2 linked regions of the Drosophila melanogaster genome follow. The protein of the gene in region 2 interacts with the protein of the main gene of each other region in a pairwise test. Each region holds a gene or a part of one and is shown on either strand. Other genes may lie near its edges. The genes, in order: c-cup and Pburs.

Region 1 (7,863 bases), about 13 Mb from region 2:
CCGAGACGATAATCACACACACGCCGCACACCCAAACGCACACATCGTTACATAGGAGAAACGACGCGTCGTCCTTTGCCTCTTGGTATGCGTAAGGACATACAAAAAACATAATTAACCGCGACCTGACGACGACAACAGCAACAACAACAGAAACAACGCGAAAGCGACGAGGACGACGTGTTGGCGACCTACAAAAAGCCGTCAGCCCAAGAACCTAGAAAGTGCACTGGGAAAAATGTAACTACAGAGTTTCTAAAACTTTACAAATAGTGAGTTTTTGGTAAGTGCTTGTTGCATTGAGGAATTTGCGTGGACTTCTCACTTTCTCTCAGTGTAATCCGCTGCGCACTTGGCGAGCGTTTTCCGCCCTTTTTCCATTTTCCGTTGGCATCATGTTAATGTGACGAGCACAGCTGCTGGTGCTTTGGTAGTCGCTGGGGGCGATGCCGGTGGAGCCCGGGCCGACATTTTTGCAAATTACACACTTTTGAATATAAAGTACTCGCATAACGCACCCGAGACAGCCAGTCTGTGGCCACTTTTAATGGGCCACGCCGGAGTTTCGCCTGGAAACTTATTCGCAACAACGGAATGCGAGCTGGGTGGCGCAGTCTAGACATCGCCTGGAAAATGGCTTTGGGTCAACTGAAAAGCTCGCAAATTGCGAGGCCCACTGCCACTGGCCCTGAATTGCAATTAAGCCTGATATATGGGGCAAAACTGGTTCTGCTTTCGTTTCGCTTGCTTTGTTTCGTGTCATTCTGGGCAACATGGATTTATGAATTCAAAATGCCATTGGCCATCGGGGCGGGCCTCTAGTGCCATTTGTAAATCAAATTCTGACTTTGCGAAACATCAAAATGCTTCGAGAGCCCCCCTCAAAAAACGAAAATTATTGCCAAAGTGGTTGCATGACATTTGACTTGTCGCATAGCTCGTTGCCAAATTTAAGCCTCTTACTGCGGAAAATAGAAGAAAAGGCTGGAAAACATAGGTAGCTGTTTTTACCAGAGGTTCTTACCTATATCTTTCATTAAAATGGAAAATGTAACCAAATGGCAAGCTACTGATAATGTGGTAATTAAAAAACAAGTTTAATTAAAATTGTAATTCAATGTCTTTTATATGGACATATAACCATTTTATCTAGCATATTTCGAATGGATGCAAGCCTCAGACAAATTTCTTGTAAAATGAATAAAAACCAATCTTGAGGATTCAGTTAAGCCTCGAGAAATCCCTTCACATTTCACTTACAATTTCCTTGCTGGATGTTCCACATTTCCACTTACCCATAATTGTCCATGAATGGCAAATCACTCTCGAATGCAATCAAATTAAGGAGCCAAGTGCAGCTTAATCCCTTCACAAACACATTGAAATGTAGCCAGCAGCTGTTGGGCCGCAGCCATTGTTCCCACTTCCCGGGAAAAAGGATAAAAGTGCCGAGATTGGTAGGTGGAAGCAGAAATGGGTGAAGAATTAAAAGAAAGCGAACCATTTAATGATAATTACAGCGACCATTAGCAATTGTCTGGCGGCAATAATAACAAAGTGAACATAAAAACCAGACTGCGAAATGAGGGGCGGTCTCTGATGTGCATGCCTTGCGGAGGGGGCGTGGCGAATCGAGGCGTTGGAAAATCTGGGGGCTAGAGCGTGACGCGCTTTTCAATTACCACGAAGCCGGGCTCAATCTAATGAATTGTTAAATTATGTAATGAAGCGTGTACTTTAGATAAATGAAAACTAATTAAATTAACTCCTGCAAGCAGCGAATGGCAAAGAGCAAAGTAAACTTTTGGCCAGACTTCGAAAAGTCGGAATGCAACTGAGTGAATTTAATTTGTGTTGTTTGCCAACATTTTAGTTTCGAAATTGGAAAACTAATTGTTTGCCGCACTCACACAGCCATTTGCATTTCCCTGCGCAAACACCGAAATCCAGATTCGTCTAGTGTTTTCATCCAGCAATTAGGCACGTTCCACGACATAAGCTCTTATGGTTAATTGCCTTACACCTAGAACACATCTCTTATGGCCACCTTTCCCCCCGATTTTAGCCCTACCACCTGTTTTGGCGCGTTCTGCATTTAATGAGTTATTCGATTCGATTTCGAATGGGTCACGTAAAACATTAAAATGAACGAATGACACTGGAGGGAGGTCTCCCCATCCAAATTCCCGGCAAAGTGGGGGTTAGAGCATCGTTTGCACATGACAACCAGATGGTGATAAATTCAGTGTTTGGCACCAATTATATGGGATACCATAACTGGCCAAGTTTCGGGGCGTGGCTAACGGGAAATTTATTTTAAGGAGCTACATATAATGAATTGCCAACATGACAAAGAATCCATTCAGTTAATTCATTTCAAAAGGGTCATTTAAAAAGCGAATGAATGATTACCTTAATCCGTATTATTGTTATCACCAATGGGGAAGATCCATTAAAGCAGCATTTTAAAACTTTAATTGGTCGGACTAGCATAATGGATTTTTTTTATTGTAGTACTACTTACCCAATCGCAATCGGATTTCACTAAGTATAAATAAAGCTTCACTAATAAAAAGCTGAAACAAGTGCGAACAATTTATGCAAATGGGCCACTCCAGGACATTGTCCTTCCATCTTTGCAGGGGACTGCTCTCGTCCATTTCGCCACCTTTTAAGAACCATTTCCACTTGTTATTGTTGGCCCTAGTTGTTGTTAACTTTTGAGCCCTTTTGTCACCTTTGCGCTTGATTAAATTCGACACTTCAAATAACACTTTGCCAAATGTTGTTCTTGAGTGTGTGTTGTCCTTTTGCACATTTGACTGATTTTGAAGTGTGTGCTTAACAATTTTTGGACAACTTTTTTAAATTCCTTAAGCACGTCGACTGACGAAACTTTGCGCTGGCGAAAAGTAATTTTGATTTTATTAGCTGTGTAGCACCTGACGGCATTCCTTCTGCTTTCCCGCCCGCTTTGTCACTTCTTGGCTTTCAGCTCTCAGCTCTCAGAATTCAGCTTTCAATTCAATTTAAGTCAATTGCGTGTTTGGCGCAAAGTTTTTCCACACACATACACCGGCACAATGGGAAACCCGAATCACCCCGAAGCCCTGAAAATTCGGCGACAACTTGACAAAGTCAACAGCTTGATGGGCAAAAAGTGCCAAGTAAAAAGGAAAACACGACAAACAATTTGTTGTTATCGACATTTGCCGTTGTCGATATTTTCCTGTCGAACCGAACCGCTGGGGAAAAAAGCGCAAGACAAAGGCGGAAAAACTTTCCGGCTTTCCAAATGCCAAGAGCTCGGTCAAACGGCAAAAAAAAAGAAGGACAGAATTAATTTAATCTCAGGCTGGAGGAGATTGTAAAAGAAATAGTCGATCATTTGTTTGGCAACCTAAAACCTTTGGAAAATATTCGCTCATGAAGCTAAAAGATATCTTCAATAATTTTGTTTATTCTACAAGTTACATGTAATTTTTCCAAACGCATTTTTAGTCCGTGGTTGCACTGAATATCCCCTTCAGTTAGCTTGGAAGTAAATTACTAGTTTCTGTGAATAATATTTTATTGCCAAGCTAAGAAAACGGGATATTCACAGCATCTTAAACGATATCACTCTTCTCCATTTGCTCCCCTATGGCCGAATTTGTATGTTTGACTGGACTACCGCTAATAATATCTATATCAGCATCGACTAAATATCCTACGACTTTAAATTCGGCTCTTAGGCTCTGCTCCCAGCGACTTATTACGTTCGCAGCGCAGACGCCCATGGAACTGCAGGCAATGTTCAGGACCTTGTTGGCATTGCAACCGGCCAATAGGGAGTACGGACCGTGACTGCTGAACTTTTCTCGGCCCGGACTCAGATCGTATATGAGGCCATTCAGAGCGGTGTAAATGGGTAGACTGGGACTCGAGCCATCGAAGGCAGTTAGCTCCTCCAGAGTGAGCAGAACGATATCGTGTCCTTTGGTGTCCTTTGGCTGACTCTCTTTCCTGGGGTACATGTCCAAGTACTGCGTCGACTCATCGGATTTCTCAGAGTCCCTCTTGAATTTGCCATAAAATTGCGACAACTTTGTGGTGACAAAGTAGCCAACCAAAAAGGAGACTAACGCCTGGCCAAGAGGACTTTTTAGCACTTTGGAGGCTGTCATCAAATTGGGACCCAGCTCTAGAGGATGAAGTGAGTGCGTTACGTAATTATCTACTACTTAATAACATTACTTACTTGCAGGAAACATTTGTCCAAGTATCGGCATTTTTACGACTTTTCCATAAACTATATAATTGACTCTGTTTAAGTTGTTTTCGTGCTCAGCATTTCATGAATTTTGAAAGTTCAGTCGAAATATATTCGAGTGCAAAATCAGCGGCAATTTGATCATACTCAATTAAGCCGAGTTAACAACAATTTACCGCAGTGCGGAGCGAATAAAAATGTTAAGCCACCTGCTGCCGAGCTCATTTACATCAGTCATATAAATTACATGCACTTAAAGAAATTCAGTACTATTCATTTCTAGCAAGACAAAGTTATTAAGTTATTATTTATATATTTCTTCAACATCTATTTATACGTGCATCAACCCTTTTGGTTGCTTACTCATTAAAATATTGATTTTCTTCGAGTGTAACGTACATAGCTACAGCGTGTGTCTACGCCATTTGCTATTACCATTAATGCCAAATGCTATCGTAAAAAAATGTCGCATGAAAACATTGCCAGTCTGCTGTCAGTTGCTGTTTTTATCAAATTGGCTGTACTTGGACTTTAATATGACTTAATAAGCTCATTACAATTTTTTGCGCCACGATGTGTGCGTATGAGCATGTGAGTGTGTGTGTCTCGCCAACAAAGTGTAATTTTGCGCCAGGCGAGTGCTCTGGGAGAAATACATACGGACGCTTATGTAAATACAAGTACAACTGCAGGGCGACTGCCAGGACGAAGGAGTCCTGCGCTGATTTGGGTCGGATTTAAACGATACCCTCGGATTGTTCAATTGCTCGGAAAGCTGAAATTGGTTTGTTGTGGCTCTTACGGTAATTGAGCTCCCACAATAGTAGTTTATATAAAATATGGCATTATTGCTTTATAAATTACGCTGTGCACTGAAATGTTGGCAATATTTTAAGTATTTATTTATTATGCTTATAGTGACATTTCCAAGTGTTGTCATGTGGTCAGCTTGAATGACTTACTATATGTGGCACCATCATGCCCTGGCAATACCCTGGCGATTCTCGTAACAGGATTCAGGAGAAACTGGCAAGCGTAGCGCCGTTTCGTTTCCGCCTTATGCTCGCATTAAAATTTGCATAACGTTGATTTTGTTGCGAGCACATTACGCATACGCCGCGTGTGACGTTGGTTCAAATTGCTTTGGGCACTCGGTTTGCGGCTGGTTGCTTCCTTTGCCTGTTGTCGTGTTTTTGTTATTTTTCCTTCATTCCAGCTCTTTTTCGCTTATTTTAATTTAATAAATTAAAACATATTTCGCATGCTGTTCAAATGTAATTACATATCCCTTGGACCGCACTCGCTACCGCTCAGCCTTGCCTTCTTTTAATTAAAAATAAAAATCATACAAATAAAAAAGAGCAGCAGTCTCTTTAAAGTTCGTATGGCTGCCACTGCCGTTCTGCGGGTTATTAATAAACTTTTCAATTGCCCACCAACCGCGAGGGCAGCTGTGTCGTATTAACTTTGTCTGCCAGCCGCGCCCCTTTTCCTCCCGCCCCCTTTCCACTGTCTCTTGTTTGGCTTATTAGTCCCGCTCCGCTGAAATTTGCTTTGGCAAATGTCGGAAATCCGAATGCCAGAAAAAAAAAAGGAATCACAAAATTTCAACCACAAAGTGCCAAAGCTCATAAGCCCACGAACAGGATAAAAAGGCTCCGGCAGAAGGAGCAGTACAAAGTATGCGGATGCTGCTTATTATTCGAGTTAATTAAAGCAAATTTCAAAAGGATTAGAATGCCAGCAGATTTGCTTAGTTTACTTTGCTGCAGGCCTGCGAAGGTTCTGGGATTTTCTGCTAATGGGATAGACTTTGAAAAAGAGGGAAACGATAAAGGGTTCAGACATAAACAACTTAAATAGGGGTTTCCTTGAATCATTTACAATTGTTCATTTGGCTCCGGTCGTATTGAAACATTCAATTATTACCAAACTTCTTTAAAATGTACGACTCTCAACACATTTATTCAAAGCCAAAACGAGTACAAATATTTCCATAAAATATTATCAAACATTACCAGAGAGTCCCACTCCATATTGCAAAGTCCCAACCAATCCCCTTGGCGTCCAATGATTTATTCATTGAACTGAGAGGCAAGGCAAAGCCATAAAAATCACCCACATAGTTTTTGGCCCGATGCCGCCCTCACACTCGGCACTTTGGTTATACGCCTGATGCTGAAATATTTTGCTGCACTAACCATAAATAAAAAGTGCAGAACAAGTACAGAAAAAGCATAGAAAAAGTACAGAAAAATAGGGGAATAACGAGAATAAAAATCAACAAAACTGGGCCCAAACAATGGGGGCACACAAAAACAAATTGAGCAAGAATAACAACGAATGAAAAAATATTCCCATGCGACAATTGCAAAAGTGTCAAGGTGCAGGAGGCGCCAGCCACAAAAAAAAAAGCAGAAAAATAGTAAAATATAGATAAAAAGGGCTGGGAAAACTAGGGCAATAAAACGAGGTGCCAATCTTTCATAACCTCCCAACCATGGCCCACACAAAAATCGAAAGTTTTCCCACTTTGTGTGCTAAATTTACAGAATGGTAGAACACTTTTTATGCCTGGCATATTTTTAATGCTTTTCGTGTGGCTGTGTGTTCGGTGGCTGATAGCGAAATATCGGATGTATGCCAGCATTTAGCAGACAAAGTTGCCTGGGGAACAACTGTCATTTAGATGGTTTTAAGTGGAACTATAAGCGGTTACACAGGCAAAAATGCGCTACAGGATTATAATCAAATGACATGAACATTTTTAAGCAATCTCTGCACTTTTTAGTACTCATAAGGGAAAGCAAAATTCAGTGCTCTACTAGTGTTTTTCTACCTTTTAGACTGACACTTTATGCCAAAACTTTTGGCAGATTTTACCGCTCACCCAGGCGGCTAACAAATAAATCAAAAGCACACAGAAATCCGACGAGTTCTGGCAATGCATTAAATCAATATCTCACTGTCAATCCGTTGGCTTGGCTGTCGAACTGGCTGCGAAAAGTTTTCTTGTATAATTGCAAACGAAGAGCTGGCGAAAAATTAATGAACCTCCCAGGGAAAGTAGGGGGAATACCCAAAATCCAAGGCATAAATATCATGCACGCCTGCGAAATTCTCCTCTTAGTTTCGAATTGATGAGTACGAAAGTTTTGCGTGCGGGCTGGGTGCTTTTCCGCAATCATTTTCCACCCGCTACCACCCAGGCACTGGCGCTGGAAAAGTTGCTCATTAAGGTGCCGATGAGAATTTGCCTTAAGTTCCCCAAACGCTGCCAGGATTATTAATAACTGTGCTGAGTGCGGGTGTGTGGGTGCGTGTAAATATTTGCGCTCTCCTCATTTAAGTTTTGCGTATATATCACGCATACGCCGCGTTGTGAACAATTAGTTGCAATTTATACGCCCTTACACAACAGCCGAGCACTCGGCTTAATGATACTTAATGTGTAAATCATTATAATAAATTACATGCACAAGCGATGATAAAAATAATCCACAGCCAAGAAAAATACAAATAAACCGGCCCAATCCGCATAATGTGTGCCCCGACATGCCCCTGTATATATAAGTACATATGCCGCAGTGCAAACAGGGCCAAGTCGGGAT
Region 2 (7,663 bases):
GTTACCTGACTTGGGCCATGGTGTCATTAATTTTGGAATCGTAAAGCCCACAATATGTCAAACGAGACCACACAGCGTCGTAAAATTCAATGTTTATGGGCAGCCTCTGATTTTCGGTATAGTATAGTAAGTTTGGCTTGATTTTTTTGTTTTTTTTTTGTTCAAGCTGAACTTGCTTCGGCTTTGGATTTCGAATTTGATTTTGATTTTCATTTTGGCTTCGGTTTGGGCTTTGAATTTGTTATCAAAAGTGTCGCGTCGCTTTTAATGGCTTTTGCTTTAGGTGGCTGACTGCCTTGTTGCGTGTTTCGGTTTTTTAAACGCTTGCCAGAAAATTAAGCGTAACTTATTTGTCAAGTTTCTGCTCGTTTTTTTTTTGGCCTCTTTGTGGAACATAAATAAGCTTGATTCGGTAGGAGATTGTGTGTCCAGTCAAATAAGCTACAAATGCCAAATCAATTAATGTCGTTTTATAAAGTGCTAACATGAGTAGTCCGTCTCGAAATAAATACATTTTAAATTCATTTGTGTGATGCATTTAACTGTAGTATTTTCAAAAATATTTTCTGTTAGAAGAAAACTATAATAACATAATAGAAAAGAGTTTCAATAAATATTCAGGATTTTTAAATATTAATATATCTGAATAGTTAATAAAATGTCATGTAAAATCCAAAAAACTGATTTTCCCAATTGCAATGTAGATTTCCACCGAAAGCTGCAGCATTTGGCCAATTGCATTGCCTATTTTTGCACACGCTTTGCGAAATATCAATAAATATTTTGCTAATTACACCGCAGAGTGATTATTTAAGCCGGCTATATGGGCTGCTGCTGCCGGTGTTTGTTGGCCGTCGGATTGTAACAGATGCCCCATGGCATCCATAATAATGTTAAATGCTTTATAATAACCATAAATGTTTGAAATGTATGTGCCAAATGGCTTTTGGTGGCACATCCAACCGCACACAGAAGTCGAGTCCAGTCCGTTCATATAACCAGTTCGAATCCAGCTGCGTCTCTCGACAGCCGGCACAGTGAGAGGTCCCTCGATTCCACTGAGTCGTGGTCGGACTTTTTGCCATGAAAATTGTTTATGGACATTTTTGTGTTGGCGCGGGGGTCAGTGGGTAGAGTGTTTCTGAATTTAACTGATTTTTAATGTGCGCGCCGAGACTGGTGGGCGTTGGCTAGATAGACAGAGGGAAACGGGCATAACTCTGGGTTCGACATATAACGCCATTCGGTATTAGCCAATTTGCGGCAGTTTATTGGTGGAAAACGGTTTGGCATGATTGGCTGCCGGTTTGCTTGCTGCCTGCAGTCTGCGCTGGCTACTGTTTAATAAACTCATTGATTTATGTCTAATTAAATTTGTTGGCCATATTAATTTATGCCAATTATCGCACATGCACATGCGCAATCAATTCAATTCCCCATTGGGTCAATGCTACATTTAAGCAACCAAATAAGCGCAGCAACTAAACGAATAGACGAACGGGTTGACCGTATATACTACATATATCAATGATTAATGATCAACAAATTGGGTTGACGGGTAAATGGAATTTTTTCTTTATTTCACCGGAGAAGCCTGACCATGAAAATTGAGAACCCGCAACGCCCCAAACTGTCAGTTATCCATCACGATTGATGGATGTGCTCGACGGTGGGGCAGTCTTTATTCCATTCCACGGCGAGAGAGTAGAAGCCACCATCCACTCATCGTCATTGTCCGTAACCATTATCCGCCACTCTAGCCCCGGGTACTCGACTCGACTCGACTATATATGAACATACATACATATACTCGCAACTCGTATCTCGTAAATCGTGCAAAATGATCCTCACTTCCCACCATATAGGCCCTCCCTTTGCGCCGATCGCCGGGGTGTTACCCACACATAGCCCAGCTGATTTGGCTGCCTTCGCTTATCCCGAATTGTAATCAAGTTAATAATAGGCTATGCGCACCTTAATGCTGATTAGGGGTTTTGTTTTAAAGCTTTGGATGGGGCAGGCAGATTGAATGTTCGGGCCTCATACGCACCATAATTATGCAGGGCAGTGTAGAGGTGGCTAACGGGCAAATCGTTGGAGCTGCTTACTTTCGCTTCACTATTTCTGCACTTGTAAAGTACTACTCCCAAATTGTTTATGTACAGGTAGTGAAAAACAGTTTTAAGTTATTTTCCTCGATTGAATTCCGATAGAAAATGAATGAATCCATTAGGAGCTAATTACTACAATATAACTGAGATTTCTGCTTAAGCTGCTTTGTTTTTCCCACTTTCCACCTTTTTTTTATATGACTAGCTTTATGTGGCTATCAAAATTAATTTCCAATATGATTGATACGTTTTGCAGGCACACAAAACCGCTTCCAAAGCAAAAATGACTTTGTCCAGCGGACAACTATAAATCATTGAGACAAAAATGTGAACACGCGGCACACATTAGTCAAAGAGGGCAAAGGCAGCCGAACCGAGCTGCTGGCCAAAAACGCATAAACATTTTACAGCGCAAACAATTAACTAAAAATAACATAAAAGAGTAGGCAGCACACGGCGAGACATGGGGCCAACTTGAAAATCTCGAAACTAAAAAAATGATTAATGAACGTCGCAATGGCCGTTTGGGAAAGTTACATAAATTAACACATGTCTTTACCATAATGAGTCAACAGCGATTTTGGCCAACTAAGAGCCACTTCAGACCGATTCACTCCCAGTCTCTAGTCATCAGACAGGCAGCCCCAAGGCTCCAAAGTCGGCTTAATTTAATTAATGTGTCTGCCCATAATCATTTTTCGAGTATGTTTCTACAGCTGGCGTTACGAGACACGGACAGTAAGTATTAATTCTAAATCAATTAGGCAAGGGCAAACCAATCAATTGGGGGAAATTAAAAAACTATTAGAAAAAATCCAGACATCGCATATATAAATGTTGCCAAGTATTTAACTATTTGAAAACCGCATTAGGCTTAGCATATAGCACTTTGAAGTTCTAATTCTATTATTTAATATATGAATATAATGGCGACACCCGCAAATCAGTCAAAATGCTGCATTTTTTACCACATATATTTGTTTTTCCTTGTCTGCGGACAACGAAATGAACGCACGGTGAACCAAAAAATAAGGGCAACTTTCTGGTCATGACAGGTTCCACAGGACTCGGCCAGACGGGGCACACACTCATAATTGTTGTATTTGTTGTTAACGGGAAACAAAAGGAGCAGCCGGTCCAAGTTCATTCAAATGGTTCGGTTGAGGGCCGAAACGCCACCGAATGCGGCAAAAAAAAATGTGTGGGGCTCATGTGGCCCCAGGACAAACAGTCAGGCACACCGAAGAGTATCCGTGTATCGGAAAGGAGGATGGGAGGATGGGAGGACGAGATGCCCAGGCAGACACTAATTCGATCTGATAATCATGGAGTTCTGCCAAAGGGCATGAATTGTAATTTCCTCTTTCGCGGAATTAACTGTCGGTCCCTGTCGCTTGGTCGGTTGGCTTTGTTGTTACGATGTTTTGCGATTTTTTTGTATTTATTTTTTTTTTAGCCTTTTCGAATCTGTTGAATTTGTTGTTTTTTCCTTTTGCACAAAGACACACGGGCTATCCATTGTTGGATGGTATTTATGTGTCATATTTATTCATTTAAAGCATTGCGCTTTTGTTTTACTGCTGCCGGTCGTGTGTCGCTTTGGATTTCATTCATGGACACGAAGCCTGCAGGATGTATTTTTTACCCTTGGTTATCCTTTGATGTCGGGACTTCTTAGGGAATGGCACTAATTTGAACATTGATCTGAGCTGCATTGGGGCAGCACCAATCTTTTAGGCTGGGCGGAACATACTAACTAATTTTTGTACACCATCATCCATTATTCAGCTTTTTAATAGGGAATTTGAATTAATTTTTATAATTAGAAGTATTTTCTTTTTAAGAATCACAATTGCAATATTGTCTAGAAATGTAAATAAGTCTTTATTTTTTTATAATTTTAATTGAAATCCTGAGTCAAACTTTGAGTTCCAGCATTGAGCGCAGCGGTTTTTCCGAGCAAACTACCATTTAGACTATTCGCAGACAGAAAAACAGGAAAAATAGGCAAAAATCCAGACAGTAAACCAAAAATTCAGAACAAAACTTTGCGCCATACGATAGATACACAAGCATGCATCCTTGTTTATGTATTCAAATACTCGTGTGTGTATACATATGTATATATGGAGAGACGGAACTGACTGAACAACAATTTCGCAAACGGAGGGTAAAAATAAAATCAGCATTTTTAGTAGTTAATTTAATTTATTGCAGCGTTTTTATGGTTGACTTTATTGCATAATAAAACATAATTTACTGCGCCATTGAGACTTTTTGCGTTTGCGTCGATGATTCTAAAGCGCAACCATCGACCATGGCCCACAGAGGAGTGAAGTGGAGAAAGGCGGTCGAGCCCACAGTGGGATTCAGATACAGATACAGCTACAGATACTGGGAGAGAGAATGTGGTTATTGCGAAATTGGGCGAGACAAAGACGATGCCAACAGGGGAGGGCCAACAGGGCCAAAAGCAGGCAATAACAGACACGAGAGGTGGAAAACTTCAGACAGATTGCAATTTCATTTTTTGTTTACGTGGCCGGAAAATTGCGGGAAAGCCCCTTGTATAGATTAAGGCTGAAAGTATTTGCCTCTTTATTGCTCACACCAATAAATTATTGTAATATAACCAATAGTATAAGCTAAGTGTAACGCAATCTGGCATTAAGTTATTAAATTTTCTGCAATCATTTTATATTTTTATTCCGTACTTATCGATTTGGTTTAACGTGTAAAAAATCGAATCGATACAGTCGACATCGTTACTTGTGGTCAAGTCGTTTGATTTAATTACCAATTAACGGAGCACAAAAGTGATGTGTAAATTGCCATGTCCTACCGCAACTTAAGCGACCGAATTTTCACCCGCTGGGCAGGACACAAACATTCCATCAGCCAGTCATTGACATATATCATGGAATCCAATCAGGTCCAGCCCTCTTCCGTATAAAAGAGCCTCCGGGTGAAGCGATTCCAAACAGTTGGGCGTTGGGAGTGGGTCAGCATGCATGTCCAGGAACTGCTCTTTGTGGCCGCGATCCTAGTGCCCCAATGCCTGAGGGCATTGCGATATAGCCAAGGCACTGGCGACGAGAACTGCGAGACTCTCAAGTCGGAGATCCACTTGATCAAGGAGGAGTTCGACGAGCTGGGCCGGATGCAGAGGACCTGCAATGCCGACGTCATCGTCAACAAATGCGAAGGATTGTGCAACAGTCAGGTGCAACCATCGGTGATAACGCCCACGGGGTTTCTGAAAGTAAGTTTGAATCCTGCCTCTATAGAGTTAGCGAACTCTAAGGTTCCATGTTTTCCAGGAGTGCTACTGCTGCCGCGAAAGCTTCCTCAAGGAAAAGGTCATCACTCTAACCCATTGCTATGACCCGGACGGCACCCGTTTGACCTCTCCGGAAATGGGAAGCATGGATATACGTCTTCGGGAGCCCACCGAGTGCAAGTGCTTCAAATGTGGCGATTTCACACGTTAATGCCTCAACATAAACTATGCTATTTGCATCCATTTGTTTTAGTTGCAGAGTGAAATATGTTTCATATATTTTCAAAACGAGCCCCACATTAAAAGTACCATTACTTAAAATCATGTATATTCTTAAATATTTCGAATTAATAAAGGAATAAGTGAAAGTCCCAGCTTTTTCAGTTAAATAAATACATATATCTTTAATGTCTATTCTAATATAACCATTAAATTAAATTAATACAAAATTAGTTTCTATATTGAACTTTCCACTTTTTCGCCCTTATTTAACTTATGCTTAAAATGGATCTTCGTGTGTGTTTGAATAACAACATTAGACTGATAGCTGCTCATGATTAAAGTGTCTGTTGTTTCATGCATTATTGTTTGCTACATTGATATGCAGTAAGCCAAAGGCTAACAAACATCTGTTTGATTGAAAATACAGTACACATTTCGCTGAGAGGCACTTGCTATACTCCATGAATGCATGAACTTTGATTTTCCCAAAAATATGCAATGCAATCCTGAATCGGAAAATGTTTGACATATCACTGGAGGCCAAAAATTGATTGCAACCAAAATGGAATACATCACTCGTCCTCTGACAGGCATTTGCAATGGCCAGGGAAATGGCAACGAGCATATTGACTTTTTGGCCCAGCCTGGCTACCAAATTAACTCATTTAGTCAGAGGGTCCGGCGCACTCGCAATTGCCATATTTATGTTGGCATCTGTGCGGCACATGATGCCTAACCACCCGGAAACTCGTCTCGCAAACATAATAATCAAGCATAAACTGCACTTAAGATGAAAACCGCTTTCTGGTTGTTAATTTTCATCATTATTTTCCCTATTCCTCCTGTTTTATTATATTTTATTTTAGACATGCGAGTACCCAGCTGAATTGATTAAAGCCACCAGAGATGGGGCAACATCGACTAATTGTAAATTGGAGCTTGGCTTGGAACGGAACACGCTCGGTTCGGGGCTACATTATAATTTCATGTTCACAAGCACATTTGCACGCACTGTAATTTACTTAAGCATTTTTCCACAGCTCCCCATATACTTACTACCCAGCTGAATGTGATCTCCACCGGTCGGTACTGAGTTGCCGCCTTTCGTTCGTGTGTGCGAAACTCATAATTTAGTTGACACGCCCATTAACATCGGACCGCAGTGATCTTCCAGAGCTGCTGAGCTCCATATACCCATCCAAGATTTGTCCAAGGGGGAACGGTGGATCAAGAGGGGGGTTCCTGGGTGGCATCGCGCGTCAGTGGCTCCATCAACAGCAACGTGCCGACACAATATAAATTATATATTTATATTTATAACATACATCGAGCAAGATTTCTCGGCAAATCTTGCATCCCGGATGGAGTCACGTAGAACCGGTGAGCGAAAAACTACCTGCGATCAGATGATCATTCAAAACTTTTAACATTTCATTAGGGTAATCAAATTAAACAGTCTATAAGCGAACGGGTTTCCACAACAACACAATTACTGGTCCATTGCAGGTGCTGAATAACTCATTTAGCTTCAATCGCGGATCACCTGGAAAGTGTGCATCGATTTGAGTCATTAACTTAAGAACGAGTGGGAAAGATACTTTGAACTAAAATGGGATATTAAAATTTCAAGATAAAAACAGGTTCCTGTACTGTGTGGTTTACTCAGAGGGCTCTTAAAAAGAAATTAAAACTTTTGGAAGACTTTGCGCAGATTATTAAAATCGATCGCTAAATACACCAATAAATTTCACTCACAGGCCACATTTATGAGCCAAATCGAACGCATGCATCGTGTTAAATAAATTGCTGCATATTTATAAGTTATAAATTAAGCGCTGGCCACGAAAGGCAGGCAAGTTGCTATATTCTTCCGAGTCACTTTGATGATAATTAATGAATGTTAATTAATAACAAATTTGAAGATCACAAAAAAGGGGGGACAAAAAAATATAAACATTTACTTGAATGCTACTTTATTGTTATTGTTGCTGCTGCTGCTGGTGGTGGTTATCGCTTATACAATATCTAACATACTTTTTGTGTTAAAACG

Evidence for each region.
Region 1: the proteins of Pburs (region 2) and c-cup interact in a two-hybrid assay, tested with the Drosophila melanogaster proteins (one large-scale study listed by BioGRID).

The regions. Positions count from the first base shown.
Region 1 is NT_033779.5:1,828,184-1,836,046, forward strand, and holds c-cup (calcutta cup), read right to left. Parts: upstream 4,383-7,863; 5' UTR 4,272-4,382; coding exon 4,241-4,271; intron 4,184-4,240; coding exon 3,609-4,183; 3' UTR 3,444-3,608; downstream 1-3,443.
Region 2 is NT_033779.5:14,414,774-14,422,436, reverse strand, and holds Pburs (partner of bursicon), read left to right. Parts: upstream 1-5,105; 5' UTR 5,106-5,118; coding exon 5,119-5,373; intron 5,374-5,431; coding exon 5,432-5,602; 3' UTR 5,603-5,708; downstream 5,709-7,663.